2 linked regions of the Xenopus tropicalis genome follow. The protein of the gene in region 2 interacts with the protein of the main gene of each other region in a biochemical or structural test. Links are inferred from orthologs where the notes say so. Each region holds a gene or a part of one and is shown on either strand. Other genes may lie near its edges.

Region 1 (4,390 bases), on a different chromosome or scaffold from region 2:
TCTGGGACCTGCATTGGCCTTAAGCTCTTCTAGTTTCTCGACCAGCTTTACCCTGACCTCTTCACTGTAGGGTGTGAGCCTTGAGCGAAGGGAGTCAACATCCACTCTCACTTTGTCCCTTATCTCTTCAGCAATAGGAGTGATCTTTTTATACAAGGAATCCAGGTTGTTCTTGGTTTGCTTTTGAAGCTCAGCTACCAGGGGAGAGATTTTCTCCTGGTAAGCCTTTGCATCATCAGCCCAACGTTTCTGGAAAGCTTCCAGGATGGGGCGGATTTTCTCCTTGATTACTGGGAGTTCCTTTTCTAGCTCTTTGGACACCTGTTCCCTGATATTTTCTACATAGGGATTTATTTGCTTTCTCAGGTTCATAGCATTGGTACCAAAGGTGTCAAGCTTCTCAGTGATCTTCAGGCTATATATTGAAAATGAAAATGGAAGAGTTAAATATAACACTCTGATAGCGTAGGCAAAACAAATCCCATAACATACACTGTCCTTGTCTACCAGCTGCTAGGAAAATGAATTGACCACTGACTATCTCTGCTTGTATCTCCGCTTGTATACTGGGAAATGATTATTGGTCCATTATGCCTAGTGTAACCCAGAACTTAATTGCTAGGGTGAGCAGGACCCTAGCAGCCAAAAAATAGTATCAATTTCAGAATGCAGTTTCTGAACAACAAAAATACATAATTTAAACTACAAAAAATAAAAACAAACACCAGTTGCAAATTGTGTGAGAATATCATTTAAAAACGCCCAGAAATAAAAAAAAAACTACCTTAAAGTTGCTTTGTTACAGTTTCACTGCATCCCCTGCACACTTTGTCAAAAAGTATCTACACCATACAGCCCTACATGTGTTTTGATTATACATACATTTGTGTTAGCTGTGACTGCACCTTTTCCTGAAAATAAATACTCACCTTCTCATTGTTATCTTTTTAGTCTTTTCCTATTCATATAAATGGATTCATGTGTAATATTTATCCGGGATCGTGGCATGTAAAGAGTTTTACATGCAGCAAATCCAGTGAATACAGATGGGCAGGTAAGTTATGTCATGGCCCATAGGTCAGTGGTGCTTAGTTATCTTACAAATATTAAGGATATTTATATAGGATATATGTGAGGAGGTTCCATAGCTATTAACCATTTCAACCAATTAGCAGGTAGCATATACTGGTCTGATGTTTGTTTCCTAGACCTGGAACAAATGTTGTGCCTGTTTTTACATTACCTTCTAAGTTTTCTAGTTCTGTTCCCCCAATTTGGTCAAATAGTAACATATAGCCATTCTGCCTTTACCATTATTCTCTACCACCACCAACAAGAATAATAATAAAGAACAGGGCCTTACTCAAGTTGTTTTCCGAGATCAGAGGTCTCCAGTTGGCTCACAGCTTCTCTGCCCAAGTCCCGAACTTTGTGTACGTAGCTCTCTAAGACTTCCCGCACCTGCTGGGCTGGAGTGTGGGGCTCTTCATGCTGCCAAGGGAAATACTTTGCCTGTGTTCCTGCAGAAGCAAAATATAAATGTAAGTTTAGATTGGTTGCTATGGATTACTACTACTACTGTGATTTTTCCCCTAAATGTCAATGGTTTGTAGATATAGATAGAAAAGTATGCTGTATAACTGTGATAGATACTGAACAGTTGGGGGGTAGAAATTAATTTTAGTGATTGTTTTTCCATAGAGAATTGGTGAAGTCACAAACTAAACTCTGGAAAGCAGAAGTAATTCGGCTTCACATTAGACATTAACCCACATTAACCCAAATATGCCTGGTTGCTCAACTTCAGAACTAAAGGCGGCCATAAACAGTAAGATTTGCTTGTTTGCCAAAGGAGCAAATCTTTTCCCCTTGGGTGGGAAATATTGTGCTAATGAGATTGTTTGGCCCTAGGGTCAAAGTGGCAGCTGAAATCTGCCTTAACTAGTAAAATTCTAGTTGACAACAGATTGAAATTTCTAGTGTTCAAACATAGCAGATGTTCATATAGAGCCACAAGGGAGCATCGCAAGCACACAAATATAGGAAACACCACTACATACCTGAGAGGAACAGTACTGCTAGTAGGACTAGGTTCTTCATAGTTGCAAACTCTCCAACCTGTAAAACAGGACACTGGTCTGAGGACAAAGGGGAATTAAAATGCCCGGCATATAATGTAGAATGTTAATGGGCACATTCCAATGAGCAAATCAACTGAATTACATAATCTTTACTGTATATAAGAATGAAAAACGCATGCAGGGACCTTGCACTCCCACCCAACAGACACATGTCTCAGTGCAGTCTGCATGGAGATGAAATAGGGCAATTAGTGGTCCAGACCATCACAAAACATCTACTATGTTAATTTAACTGGCACATCTTAGTTCTATAAAAACCTTTATCATTACAAAATATTTAGTCTCTCTTTTATGTTCATTTTTACAACTGACCCACATTGGTTTAAGAACCAGCAACCTCTGGTGCTCCAGCTATTGCATGGCTGGCAGAGGGAGGGCTGGTTTTAGAGTAAGGCAATATATGCCCTGAATCCACCTTATCAAGGGACAATTTCCTAAAGATAAAAATGTACTTTTATGTAACTAGTGATATATTTAATATTGTCAGGAACATCCCATTTGCTGTACAGCAGTTTTTCAACTATAACTCCCACATCCACCATCAAAGACTGACGGAAGTTGCTGACAACTGTATTTTAAGAACAGCTACCTTTGCAGATTGGGCTTAATATGCATTTTCCACTAAAATTGGAAAGTCACTATTTCTAATTTCAACCTGAAATTGTCTTTAACCTGCAAATAAACAGTGACAGGGAAAAACAATAGATATTACTGTCTACCCTATCAAGAATATATAAACCCTGAAAACAAATTTCTGTTACAGAACCAAACAACCTAAACTCTCTTCTATTCAATCTGTCATACAATGCCTTTCCCCCCAATACCTTCTGGTTTAAAGACATCCAGAGTGGACTGAGAACTTACCTGCTTTGCTGGTTAGTTGCTCCTGTGATCGATGCTAGTCACTGCATGCATTTTATACCCTTGTATACATGGATACTCACCTTATCAGCTGAGATAAGCAGGATTTGCAGAATGTGACGTGGAGCTGTGGGTTTAAAGTTCAGGATGATGTACTAGGGAAATAACAAGGTTCTTTGGTTTTATCTCTGTATCACCACAAAAGACCTTTCATTCTATTTGACAAGCTTAAATTCAGAGCCATGGTGGAAAATCTAGGCATTCATGCATTTCTAAGATATATCATATAACAAAATATTCCTTCTGTCATTCATATACTGATGGGGCTTGTTGTGTAAACCTTTGTATCAAAGATTTCACATTAATGCCTTATGCTTAAGAAAAAGTTCTTTGGAAGAAATGTTGTAACATTAGCCGCTGACTTTTTCCCCCAAATTCAAGTTGTCAGCTGTCTGACTGATACCTGGTTGAACACTGGCCAGATATCTCTTAAGAAGGTTTAAAAATCCTATTTAGCTAGAACCACAGTGGGCCATCAATGCTGATTTTGATGACCAGAGCTAATTGCTAATATTCTACTTGAAGCCCAACTAGAGGACTATGGGTTTGTGAAAACCCATAGCAGCAACATGGGTAATGAAATATTTATCTTTACTCTTGCACAAATTAAAGTTAAAAACTGCTTTCTTCCATATGTTTTAAAATCTACAATGAGCCCACACAATTAGCCTAAAGCATTTCATGCTTACCAAGCACTTAATCATAGATTTGAGCACTTAATCACAGGGAGCCTATGATTAAGTGCTTGGTAAGCATGAAAAGCGTTAAGCTAATTGTGTGGGGTCAGTGTAGATTTTAATATATATGTAAGAAAGGCAGTTTTTAACTTAATGTGTGCAAAAGTAATGATTAATACATAGCCAGTTGCTGACAGGTAACTATTTCTCAGTAAAATTGCACCTATTTTGTTCATTTACACACTTTATGGCAGGTTTCTATACATTTTTTAGGTGGTGGTTCTTCATCAAAGAGAATTTCAGTGTAGGTTAAAAATGGTGTAGTGTTTATTTAGTTCCAGACTCTTTGTTGTACAATCTAATACTATAAAGTATAATGTCCTAGCAGGGCCTGAACTAGATGTAGATGCAGAAAAGATACATGCCTTGGGCACAATATTTGTGGGGTGCTTGGCACGTACATCCTCCTTTATCTACCCCCTGTCACAGCCCTTGCCTCCCCACTGCCCGCTCTTAATTTACCCCACACCATTGTCGGCTCATAGTCAGCTTGCATGTGCGTGTCCATTGTGCACCTGTGTGTGTCTGCCAGGTTTGCAGGTCAGGTTGCCTAGGGTGCCCAGCCAATTTGGCCTTGCCCTGTGTCCTAGG
Region 2 (3,760 bases):
AAGGCCAGTATGGTTGGAAGTTGGAAGCAGGTTTATTAAACTGGGTCAGAAAGCAAAGGTGGTGCAGTGGTAAAAGTAATCCCCTTTCCCAGTCTCTTATAGGGTTATTTAATAAAATAAAAAAAGTTTATTCCAGGTTTAATAACCAATACCAACCATTCAGATTCTTGATTTTAAACAGCAGCTCAATAAATGCCATCTCATGAGTGGTTGCTCTGGCTACTAGACCTAAAAAACACTATGTTATAACATAACCTTCTATATAGTTATTGTTATTTGAATCTATTACTATTCTTCTTATTATTATCTCTATAAATGTTTTTACAGGCTCTGCCATTAATTTGTGAACCTTATTTGCACATAATTACAATACGTTAATGCAATAAATTCTCAGTTGAACTGAAACAGACACTTTGTTGTAGAATTTGTTATTTGGTAAAACAAGAGGATACTTTTGCAAGCTATTGTATCTTAAAATACAAGGAAATTAAAACACTCTGCTTTTGCATTGGCTGCGCAAGTGCAGTGTAGTTATTCTTGGAACTTGGAGTACACATGCACCAACCTAAGCCTTACCCAGTAATTACCCCACATAATTACCCAAAGCAAAGGGTTAGTGATTTTGCTTACTGGGTAGTGACTATCATATAGGCAACTCCCTAGTGTTGTAAAATTTCCTTGTCATTTGTTTATGTTTATTGCTCACATTTGCATCAACTACATATCTATAGAATGCAGATCTTTTGCTGGCTACACATTCAAACAGTACTTAAAGAAAGATCGCACATTGAACGGCACAGAAATGGCCAGAAGGCATCACCAAATTTATTTGGCTCATATTGAACAAAGATGCTAATTGTCCCATGAATTTATAAAAGCGATTAACTATATTTCAGTGAATAGCAACTAAAGAAAAAACACCTTCACATAACAGTATCATGTTCATCCCATTTAACCATAGTAAATATCTTCTTCACTTTCTAAAGCCTTACACATTAATATTATAATGTCCTAAAATGCAGAGGGTTCTTGCTAACTGGTGCTACATATTGCACATACTCTGTCATATCTAAAAGACCATCTGCAAATATATTGTAAAAGTAAAGTACATCTGTAATGATGGCTGTCTGAACATGTTGTCAGTTTTGCAGGGTCCTTTGCTTTTGCTTCCTATTTGGACTCAATGTTTTTCATTCTGTCAGTCTAGAATGCTTTCCTGCAGTATATCATTAATGAGAGTTAATGTCTCATTGCTAAAGACCATGTTAAGATGCTGAATCCCAGGAAGTTCATGGATGTGCACTTTCTGTTTCTGCTGACTGATCCACCTCTTGCACAGCTCCATACTTCTTGTATGCACTGTATCATCCCCATCTGAATACTTGATGTCTATGGCAGGCTCATTTGGGAAACCTTCCCCATAAATGTATGTTTCTGGAGTAGGGATCCCGGTACCATAGATGCAATATACTTCAACACCTGGTGGGGGAAGTCCCTCTAGCAGCCCCTTTGTATCCTCCCACATGTACCAGCCATCCTCAAACCCAATGTCATGGAATAACTTCCGGTAGTTCTTGTAAGTATAATTCCGAGAAGGCGTAGAAATAAAGACATGGGATTCTGGCCATCCTAAGTTTGTTGGGAGCATCCATGGATTTGTAGTAGTCATGCGTTGCTCTTCGCGAATTTTTATGTTAGAGACCATTGGAATGCCATGATTGTCTCCTACAAATTGAAAATTATAGATATTAAATAGTAAACAGATTTCAGAAAGGGAATCTACTAGTTATATCCCACTGAATAAGTCCTGAATCAGTATAAGAATAAATAGCAAAGATTTTCAGTGGAATAAAAACAACAACATTTATTGGCTCAAATTAACAAAAACATAACTCATATGAAAAGCATACTATACCAAACAATGGAGGTCCCTCTGATGAAGCGCCACACGGTGCGAAACGCGTTAGGAGATTAGGATGCACCTGGTCATTGTTTGGTATAGTATGCTTTTCATATGAGTTATGTTTTTGTTAATTTGAGCCAATAAATGTTGTTGTTTTTATTCCACTGAAAATCTTTGCTATTTATTAAAATTATAGATATCTTTGAGATTAAGACCTGCATTAGTATATAAGGCACCCTGTGCAAAATAATCAGTTATAAGGCCAGTGGGCAAAAGTTAAAAACCACAACATATTTCCTTGAATTGCATGTTTATAAACTAACATTTAAAGGAGAAGGAAAGGCATTTTGACATTTTATTGCCAATAGATTAGCCACATTAGTACAAGCTAGAAGATTATATTTATTTTGCAGAAAGCTTTGCCATAACTGAGTAAACAGCCCTAGAAGCTCCCTCTGTTTGTTTAACAGAGCAACTGCCATTTAGTTTGGTCTCAGTAGCTTCTGTGCTGCAGCTTTAGCTGGTAGTGAATTCTGATAGGAGGGGGAGTGAATTTTGATGTGAGGGGGAGGAGGAAAAGGGAGGGGGAGAAAGAAAGAGAGGAGCAATTCGAGCAGTCTTGTTCCTGTGCCCTAAAGGATTTTGTGAGAGCTGTAAGTCTGACACTGAAGAACATGTGTAAACAAAAGAAGACAAGAAATTCTGTGTTTCTTTTGAGTGCAGCTTTTCTGTGAGTGCTTATGGCTGTATTTACATAGACCTTTCTGATAAAGCTTACTTAGTTTTTACCTTTCCTTCTCCTTTAATCTATTTTGGTAAACTGTTTTAAGGGGAGGTTGCTCTCTTTCCCCTTATAACAGTATACTGGTGCATAGCAACTACTACCCGACTCCTAACCCACCAATGATGGCAAGATTTATTATACCAGGATAACAGTTAAAGCATACTCTGTAATATGTTAATTTAATGCCCAGGTACTTCATAAACTAGTGAGGAAACTACCAACTATTTGCTTATAAAATTGTTACTAGTAAATTAATGATATTTTTCAGTAACTCATGTATGGATTCATTATAGATGTCCTGTTTGGCTACTGAACCTAACAGGGCCCATAGGGTAGTACACCACAGTATTTTAGATTTATAAACAAGTCAAAAAGTTAAATAAATCCATGTTAGGGCTCTGGCACACGGGGAGATGTGACAAATCTCCTGTGTCTCGGGCGACTAATCTCCCCAAAATGCCATCACACCGGTGAAAATGTAAATCGCCGGTGGGATGGCAAGCGCGGCGGCGCAATTTCAGTGAAATCTCGCAAGTTTCCTCTCGAGGCATATTGCGCGATTTCACTAAAATCGTGCCGCCGCGTATGCCATCCCACCGGCGATTTACATTTTCGCCGGTGGGATGGCAATCCGGGGAGATAAGTCGCCCGCGAACAGGGAGTTTTGTCGCGGGCGACTAATCTCCCCGTGTGCCAGAGCCCTTAGTGTAATAAAAACTTCTTTCCTAAAAAGTATTTACACTTACCTGACATAAGTACAAGCAGAGGTTTGACAGCACCTCCCCAAGGAGCTCCAAGGGATATAAATCCTTTTACATATTTGTCTTTCCATTCCTGTGGCTGATGGTTGAGAAAATAAAGTAGGTACAAATTGCCAAGACTATGACCAATGATAAAGACTGACTCATTATATTTATTACTCATCTCTTCTATCAGGCTCTTAAGTTTCTCAAAGTATTCTTTCTGTCCATCTAGACAACAAGGGGAAAAAGCATTAGCAGTGGAATTCCTGAAAGGTTTTGATTTCCATTTTGTTGGAATAGCATACATTTATGAATATTTGATGACCAGTA

The links.
Region 1: the proteins of lcat (region 2) and apoa1 form a complex in vitro, tested with the Homo sapiens proteins (6 studies listed by BioGRID and IntAct, with this or other methods). The link is inferred for Xenopus tropicalis from reciprocal best matches to the Homo sapiens genes LCAT and APOA1.

What each region holds. Positions count from the first base shown.
Region 1 is NC_030683.2:82,228,302-82,232,691, reverse strand, and holds the start of apoa1 (apolipoprotein A-I precursor), read right to left. Parts: upstream 3,032-4,390; 5' UTR 3,006-3,031; exon of another isoform or gene 2,984-3,005; coding exon of another isoform or gene 2,966-2,983; intron 2,119-2,965; coding exon of another isoform or gene 2,101-2,118; coding exon 2,061-2,100; intron 1,521-2,060; coding exon 1,364-1,520; intron 416-1,363; coding exon 1-415. UniProt on the Homo sapiens protein: Participates in the reverse transport of cholesterol from tissues to the liver for excretion by promoting cholesterol efflux from tissues and by acting as a cofactor for the lecithin cholesterol acyltransferase (LCAT).
Region 2 is NC_030680.2:76,578,145-76,581,904, forward strand, and holds the end of lcat (phosphatidylcholine-sterol acyltransferase), read right to left. Parts: intron 3,659-3,760; coding exon 3,434-3,658; intron 1,726-3,433; coding exon 1,199-1,725; 3' UTR 788-1,198; downstream 1-787. UniProt on the Homo sapiens protein: Central enzyme in the extracellular metabolism of plasma lipoproteins.